2 linked regions of the Drosophila melanogaster genome follow. The protein of the gene in region 2 interacts with the protein of the main gene of each other region in a pairwise test. Each region holds a gene or a part of one and is shown on either strand. Other genes may lie near its edges.

What was found. The genes of interacting proteins can lie anywhere in the genome.
Region 1: the proteins of CG9588 (region 2) and Map60 interact in a two-hybrid assay, tested with the Drosophila melanogaster proteins (one large-scale study listed by BioGRID).

The regions. Positions count from the first base shown.
Region 1 is NT_033778.4:9,589,262-9,593,014, reverse strand, and holds Map60 (Microtubule-associated protein 60), read right to left. Parts: upstream 2,149-3,753; 5' UTR 1,987-2,148; coding exon 1,715-1,986; intron 1,651-1,714; coding exon 600-1,650; 3' UTR 271-599; downstream 1-270. Other genes in the region: CG1827 (uncharacterized protein), read right to left, coding at 2,631-3,699, 3,753-3,753; clos (closca), read left to right, coding at 1-25, 89-268.
Region 2 is NT_033777.3:13,674,969-13,678,721, forward strand, and holds CG9588 (uncharacterized protein), read right to left. Parts: upstream 1,714-3,753; 5' UTR 1,562-1,713; coding exon 1,460-1,561; intron 1,160-1,459; coding exon 833-1,159; intron 769-832; coding exon 535-768; 3' UTR 124-534; downstream 1-123. Other genes in the region: Lkb1 kinase, read left to right, coding at 2,142-3,244, 3,311-3,505, 3,567-3,724. UniProt on the Drosophila melanogaster protein: Acts as a chaperone during the assembly of the 26S proteasome, specifically of the base subcomplex of the PA700/19S regulatory complex (RC).

The DNA.
Region 1 (3,753 bases), on a different chromosome or scaffold from region 2:
GCAGCTATTAAAAACAGATTGGCCAGTATGTTAAAAACACATTAATACAAATTCTCCTTTAGTCATGTGCATTAAATTCAACCAACAGAGCCGCCTAAAGTGCTGGAAGGCTTTGCTGTGCTGCAGAAATTACCTCATAAGGCCTCGCACATGAAGATCATCTCCGTGGACAACGAGGACGTACTGGCCATCTGGGAGCAGATGCCCAGCGAAGTAGGGACTACTTACACATGGCAACCGGATATACATCTTTTTGGGCGAAGTTCAAGTAAGTTATGTAGATTTATTTGCATATAAACGTATTTTAAAATCAAGTAGCATATTCAACCTTAAATAGGGACAAATTCGAAATCTCAAATATTAGAAATACATTTTAAATTTAGCTTTAAAATTCATGCGTAAATGCTATGAACACTCATACCAGAACTGTGAGTAAATACATTTTACAAGTGGGCGGCACAGAACGCAGACGTTTGAACACGGAAAAAATAATACGATAAATACGAGAAATGGTTCAGACAGGCCTACTACATAACTACCTTTTTAGTTTGTCTAATAAGTAAGCTGAGTAATCATTTAAATTGCGAGTATCAGTCGGTCTACTGCTCCAGTTCGTCGCTCTGCACATCGAGGATGGCGCGCAAGATGGACAGCTCCAGCTTGGCGGAGGCACGCGAAGAGAGTCTGTTCATCACATTGGCCACGTACAGCCCGAGAGACTCGTGTCGCGACGAGTTGCATAGATTCTTGAAAAAGGTTGGCGGCAGCGAGTTGTCAAAGTTGCCCAGGTTGATAATCTCGGGTGTATTGGAGGAGGCGGCGTTGATCTTCGGCCCGAAGATAATGTCATTCTTAAAGTCCAGCTCGTCGATGTGTGGCGAAAAGCCGTTTGTGGAAGCCACCGAGGTGGAAGCAATGGTGGCGGCTGTCGATGAGTTCGCTCCCCCACCACCACCGTTTATCTGTTGTGCCGATGGAATGGTGATGATGTTGATACCCGGCGGTGGTGTCTGGTTGTCCTCACGCTCCTTCTTAACCTGCATCAGCTGGGCAGTGGTTGTGTGCACCACATTGTTTCCCGCCGGCAGTTGATCTGGAACGCTGGTGTGCACTGAAGTTGCGGCTGCCGATGAAGCGGCTTGTTTCGGGCTCGTGGTCTTGGTCTGCTTTTTTTGCGCCGATGACGAGGTGTACTCCTCCGAAAGTTTGCGCTTCAAAGAATCTGGCAGCTGAATGGTGGTGCGCGAGGAGCTTGATCTTTGCCCACTGGCTGGCGCCTGTTGCCCAATAGCCGGTTTCGGTGCTGCTGCGGAGCTGGGCGTCTTCTTCACAGTAATTCCCTTCTTTTGCAGTACTGCTGCGGCGGCGGACAGCGAGCTACTTCGCGGTGTGTTGTTAGCCAGTGTGTTGAGCAGCTTTTTCTCCTCGATGGCTGGGCGAGGAGTGTCGACGTTGGGTTTGGCGTACGCCAACCGCTCGTCCTTTTCTGGCGAACCGGTGCTGTGTGACTTTGTGGGGCTTTCGCCGTCGGAGGACGCCGAGCCGGTAGAGTTGGTGTGCTGTCCGTACTGATGGGCGTCATCCTCGTCCTCAGGCTCCTGCACCTCCAGCATTTCGTACTCCTCCACCTCCTCCATGGGTACTTGATCACTGCAGAATAGCAGTAGAAATTTTGTTAGTGTTTCACGGTTAGAGGACTATTTACGCCACTTACTTCTCCTCCTTGATTGAGATTTTAGGCTCCTGATGGATCTGATGCATCAGACTGAAGAGCTTCCACGCCGAATTGCCCTTTAGCTTTTCCTGCTCGTACTTCTTTTGGAGCACTATGAAGATGGAGCGCGATTCGTGCACAGAGAGCTTGTTGAGACGCCCGATCCTGGCCCACGCCTCCTCCTGCTCCTGCTTGCTGGCGCCGCCATTGTTTGGATGCAGCACCTTTTCTTTGGCGATGTCCTGCAGAATCTTGTCCAGTTGGATTGCCATCTTAGTCAGCGACTTGCGGCCCGCTGGTTGCGCGTTCCTGATAATTTTGGAGGCTGTTTTGATAACACGCGACACACGAATTGGTATATGTAACTAGGATCCGCTTGTTTTTCTCTCCGCTTTCGCACCGTTCGCTTCTCTTTTCTTCTGTATTTGGCGTCGGTAAATTGGCGGAAAATGTGACCGTGCAACACGCAAATACTAGAAATGCCGCCTTTTGGTACAGTAACTTAGGGATGAGGGAGATTTTGGCAACATAGATGTTCACAGTTCACAGCTCTCGATGCAGTGAAAATTAAATTTTTATATATTATATTTATCACTATAAATATTAATACTTGCATTATTTTTACTTATATAACAATTATAATGTTTCTCCATAAGGAAAAGTTATTCATTTTGGTAGTCATAACTATCGAAGGAATGGTTTTTGTTTTGTCTTTTTCTATTCTATTCTCATACTTTATTTATTTATTTTATGTAAGGATCCTTACATATCGATAATTCTTAATACCGCTAATTTACGGTAAAACTACCCGTCTATCTTGCTGCCGATAGGGACAAACAAATAACGCAATTTATATTGCAGATGAGAACTCCACGAAATTTAAATTTTATTGAAATACGTTACAGTTTTCGCCACCTCACAACGCCACGATATTTACTTTGTCCTGACCACCTATGCATTTGACCGTTTCCAAGCGCGTAGGCCCATCCGCTCCGGCTGGACTGCTAACCATAAAGGGGAATTCGGCCAGGCCGTAGCAGGCAGCGCCATAATTACCCAGCCGATCTACGGCGATGAGAGCACCCATGAAATCCTTGTGGTGCTTGAGAATGCGGCGAAGGCCCTCTTGAGCTGCCTCAGCCGGAGGTTTTCCCGCCCGCATGGTCTCCACCGCTAGCAGGGAGGGCAGGAAGCGCATCATCACATCTCCATCTCCGGTTGCCACGGCTGCACCCACCTCGTTGTCTGCATAAGCGCCAGCACCCGGAATGGGGGAGTCGCCGACCCGTCCGGGAATCTTGTGCCGCGCCCCGTTGGTGGAGGTGCCGGCGTGGATGTTGCTTTCCACGTCGATGGCGATCATGCCGATGGTATCGTGGTTCTTGCGTCCGATCTCATACTCATTGCGGGCACGGTCCTCCTTCCAGCGGGTCAGCGGAGTCGGCCGCGGCTTATACGGGCCGCAAGAGACCTTGGGATCCGGGTGAACGTTCTTCCAGAAGTTTGGCTGGCAGTTCTCAGCCGTCCACTGTAACCACATGTCCTTCGACTCCGGCGTGACCAGCGACTCTGATTCGAATCCCATAGCATTGGCGAAAGCTGACGCCGCATCACCCACCAGCATGGTGTGCTGCGTGTGTTCCAGAACATGCCGGGCTACCTTAATGGCATCCTTAATGCGTCGCAGACCAGCCACTGCCCCCACATCCATGGTGGCCCCGTCCATGACCATGGCATCCAGTGTGGTTTCGCCCAACTCGTCCGGCGATCCGCCATAGCCCACCGTTCGGTCACACTGGAGTTTCTCACACTTCGAGCAGCCCTCCACTACCGCATTCCGCGTCTGCCGGAGTCCACCCTTGCTTTGCTTCAGGATTCGCCAGGCGAGCACATTGGCAGCCGTGAAGTTCCAAGTGTTAATGACCATGGGCAGCAGCTCACCCGTCGTCTTATTCGCCTTCACGGCAGTGGTGCCAGCTTTTCCACTGCAAAGGGGCGGATCTTAGCGAACAAAGAATACGCTGTATGCGCTGCTCACC
Region 2 (3,753 bases):
AACTTTTAAAATCGAACATTTCTTTAGAATTTGTTTCTCTGTTAAATTGAAATGTTCATAAGAAGAATAAACCATAGTCTTCTGCAAAAACGTTTATGCTTTTAGATAATAATTTCCAAATTTGTTTTTTATATTTTTAATTATATATCCTTCTTTATTTACCAGTAAAAGCGCTATAAAAACTTATTTGTTAGTAAAACCGCCTCATCATTTTGTTACGCATCATTTCATATTGAATGAAAATTAAATGCAAAAAAAATCGGTCATGTCGACAGAATCCACCGAATCACAATATCATCCTTTTGCCTGTCACCTGTGCACCTTGGGTCACTCCACTGCTGCTCCTTGGCCCACTGACCCGGCTGTCAGTCAGCGAGATGACTCCAGCTGAAATTGCCCTGAAATCGCGTCCAAAAATCAATTTTCACAATTTGGAGCAACCATGTTCGTCGGCCTGGCAGAGATGGGCTGATAACTAAAGTGCAGGGCAGGAGTGCACAGGCAACTCGAAAAAAGCTTAAACACAAAGCTACATCAGTGATCCATCGCCTCGGGCGGCAGGACGATGTTGCAGCCCAGGAGACCGCGTCCACTCCACGTTTTCGGCACCAGGATGAGGTCCAACTGCTGCTCGCCGCGCTTCACTTTCAGCTGGACATTCTGGCTCTGCATGTTGCGCACCAGCTCGCCAATCTGGGCGAGATCTCCCTTGAAGTTGCCGCTATTGATGGAGCCAAAGCGGAGGATGGCATCGCCGGCACAGAGACCCTTAAATGGTAAAGATGGCCCATCTCAATGCTGTGATCTTCGCTTGTTTACTACATTCACTCACAGCTCTTTCGGCGGGCGAATCGGGACTGACCAGATTGACCACCACGATGGCGCGTGCAGGAGCAAGATCCGTGATATTAGCGCCACCGGGTGAACGGTCGCTGTCCAGGTCCAAAGCGGAGGCGCGGTTCACCAGCTCCGGATCTGTGGTGGCAATCTCGCTGTGATATTGGTTGAGCAGCGTCTGGATCTGGTTCATCAGCTCCTTGTGGTCGTTCTGCAGGCAGATGATCGTCTGTCGCGCCAGGCGCACCTGGTAAACGTCGATGTCGTTGCGCGGAAAACCCTCGGCGTCCACCAGTGGTCCACTCATGCCCACATTGTCGTTCTGGAAGGAAGATATCATTATCAATGCTATACAGCATAAACAAAAGAATGTACTCAAAATACAATTGTGTATATACCCTACACCAAAGCATAGGATAATGCTGTAATGCTTGCCCAAGTGGACATACCCTAACCAACAGTAGGGTATTGAATATATCAACATTTGGCTTGGCGGTCCGTCCAAGTTGAAGAACCTGCGATCATGAATATCCACGGTGGTGCGTCACCAACAGCTTGCCACAGTGTGCATACCCTATCCCGGATGCAGGGTATCCCCGGATGAGCAAGCGAATTTACTTACGGCGGCCAGGATCTGTCCGTTTCTGTTGATCTGCGCCTCCAGCTGCTTTTTAGCGTTAATCAGACGCTCCAGGCGCTCCTTGGTCGTCGTCCCAGCGGCCATGACTTCCACTTCGATTCGAGTTATTCCAGCGTTCGTCCCGAAAAATACAAATTTATTATTTTTCGTTAATGTTTTTTTTTTTCAGCAGCGACAGTAGCAACAACAACCAGTGCTCGTGCAGCCCTGGTTGCCCGCGACCAGTGTGACCGTATTGCGGCGAACTTACTTTGGCCAAAAACTAATTGTTAAACAATTTTTCGGAAGGGGAAAAGAACAAATTGAACGGCGAGAGTAAACACAGGAATTCACAAATTTCTATGAGAAACAGATCGCACGACGGTGAAACGAAAGGGGGGAACGCCTTTCCAGCGGACATCGCAGAATAGACGACGGGCGACGAGGGACCTCGAAAAATCGCACGGCAATCAATTCGAGTGTGTGCGAATTGATTACAAAAATAAAGGTATTTCGAGAGGTGAGCGATAAAAGCGCGTGTGTGCCTGGTGAGGATTAGGTGTAGCCATGAACTAACCAAACGTTTTGCAGCCACAGGCAACACAGGGACCACACCGTCCACTCCCATCCGCCGGAGTGGGGCTGCCACCTGCGATATGTGATCATTGGGGCTCCGCGGAGGTTTATGCAATGTTCTAGCTCTCGGCCAGTCGGAGGTAAAGCAGCCGGTGGAGCAGAAGCAGGAGGGGCAGGAGCAACAGGCCAGATGACTGTGACCACCATGGAGGCACAGGTCAAGGCAGCACACCATCATCATCTACATCATCCCACGGGCGGAGGGGCCCAGCACAAGGTGGAGGAGGAGGAGCCGGATCCTGTTGAGGACGAGATGACCGTACTGCTGGCCAATAAGAACTTTCACTATGACGTCGCCTCCGATCTGGACGACGACGCTTTTGTGGAGCTCAAAGAAGACACCGCCCAAGCGGATGATGCGGGCGCGGGCGTTGGCTTCTACAATCCGGATGAACTGCTGCTCGATGACCAGCCACATCCGCAAGTCACGTGGCTGGACGACGACGAGATCGAGACGCTCGATCGCGTGACGCTGGACATGGGTAATATGTTCTTCAATCGCGTCGACAGCCAGGACATCATCTATCAGCAGAAAAAGAAGAGCATTAAGATGGTGGGCAAGTACATAATGGGCGATGTTCTCGGCGAGGGATCGTACGGCAAGGTGAAGGAGGCCATGAACTCGGAGAACCTGTGCCGCCTGGCCGTCAAGATCCTGACTAAGCGGAAGTTGCGCCGGATTCCCAACGGCGAACAGAACGTAACGCGCGAGATCGCCTTGCTGAAGCAGCTGAAGCATCGACATGTCGTGGAGCTGGTCGATGTTTTGTACAACGAGGAGAAGCAGAAAATGTACTTGGTCATGGAGTACTGTGTCGGCGGGCTGCAGGAGATGATTGACTATCAGCCAGACAAGCGGATGCCGCTGTTTCAGGCGCACGGTTACTTCAAACAGCTAGTCGACGGCCTGGAGTACTTGCACAGCTGCCGGGTCATCCACAAGGATATCAAGCCAGGCAACCTGCTGCTCTCCCTGGATCAAACGCTGAAGATATCCGACTTCGGTGTGGCGGAGCAACTGGATCTGTTCGCACCTGACGACACATGCACGACGGGCCAAGGTTCTCCGGCCTTCCAGCCACCGGAGATTGCCAACGGACACGAGACGTTCGCCGGCTTCAAGGTGGACATCTGGTCCAGCGGAGTGACTCTGTAAGCCTTCCTTGTATAATATCATGTATTAAATGTATATACTGTACTAATCTAACGGATTTGCAGCTACAATTTGGCCACTGGACAGTATCCCTTCGAGGGCGACAATATCTACCGACTGCTGGAGAACATCGGGCGAGGTCAGTGGGAGGCGCCCGCGTGGCTATACGAAATGGACGCGGACTTTGCCAACCTGATTCTCGGCATGCTTCAGGCTGATCCCAGTAAACGCCTCTCTCTGCAGGAAATACGCCACGACACGTAAGTAGGAATATTCCTTGATTGCACTTCATGATAACTGATTGTTATAATCTGCTTTTAGTTGGTTCCGATCCGCACCGGTTAAGACCGGCCCACCGATACCCATTCCCCCCCTGAAGGGTGACAAATACCGCAACTCCACGGTGATACCTTACTTGGAAGCTTACCACTACGGCACCCAGGAGGAGGATGTCTACTTTACAGAACACGACGTAAATCGTACGTACCAACATCAATCTAATGCCGAG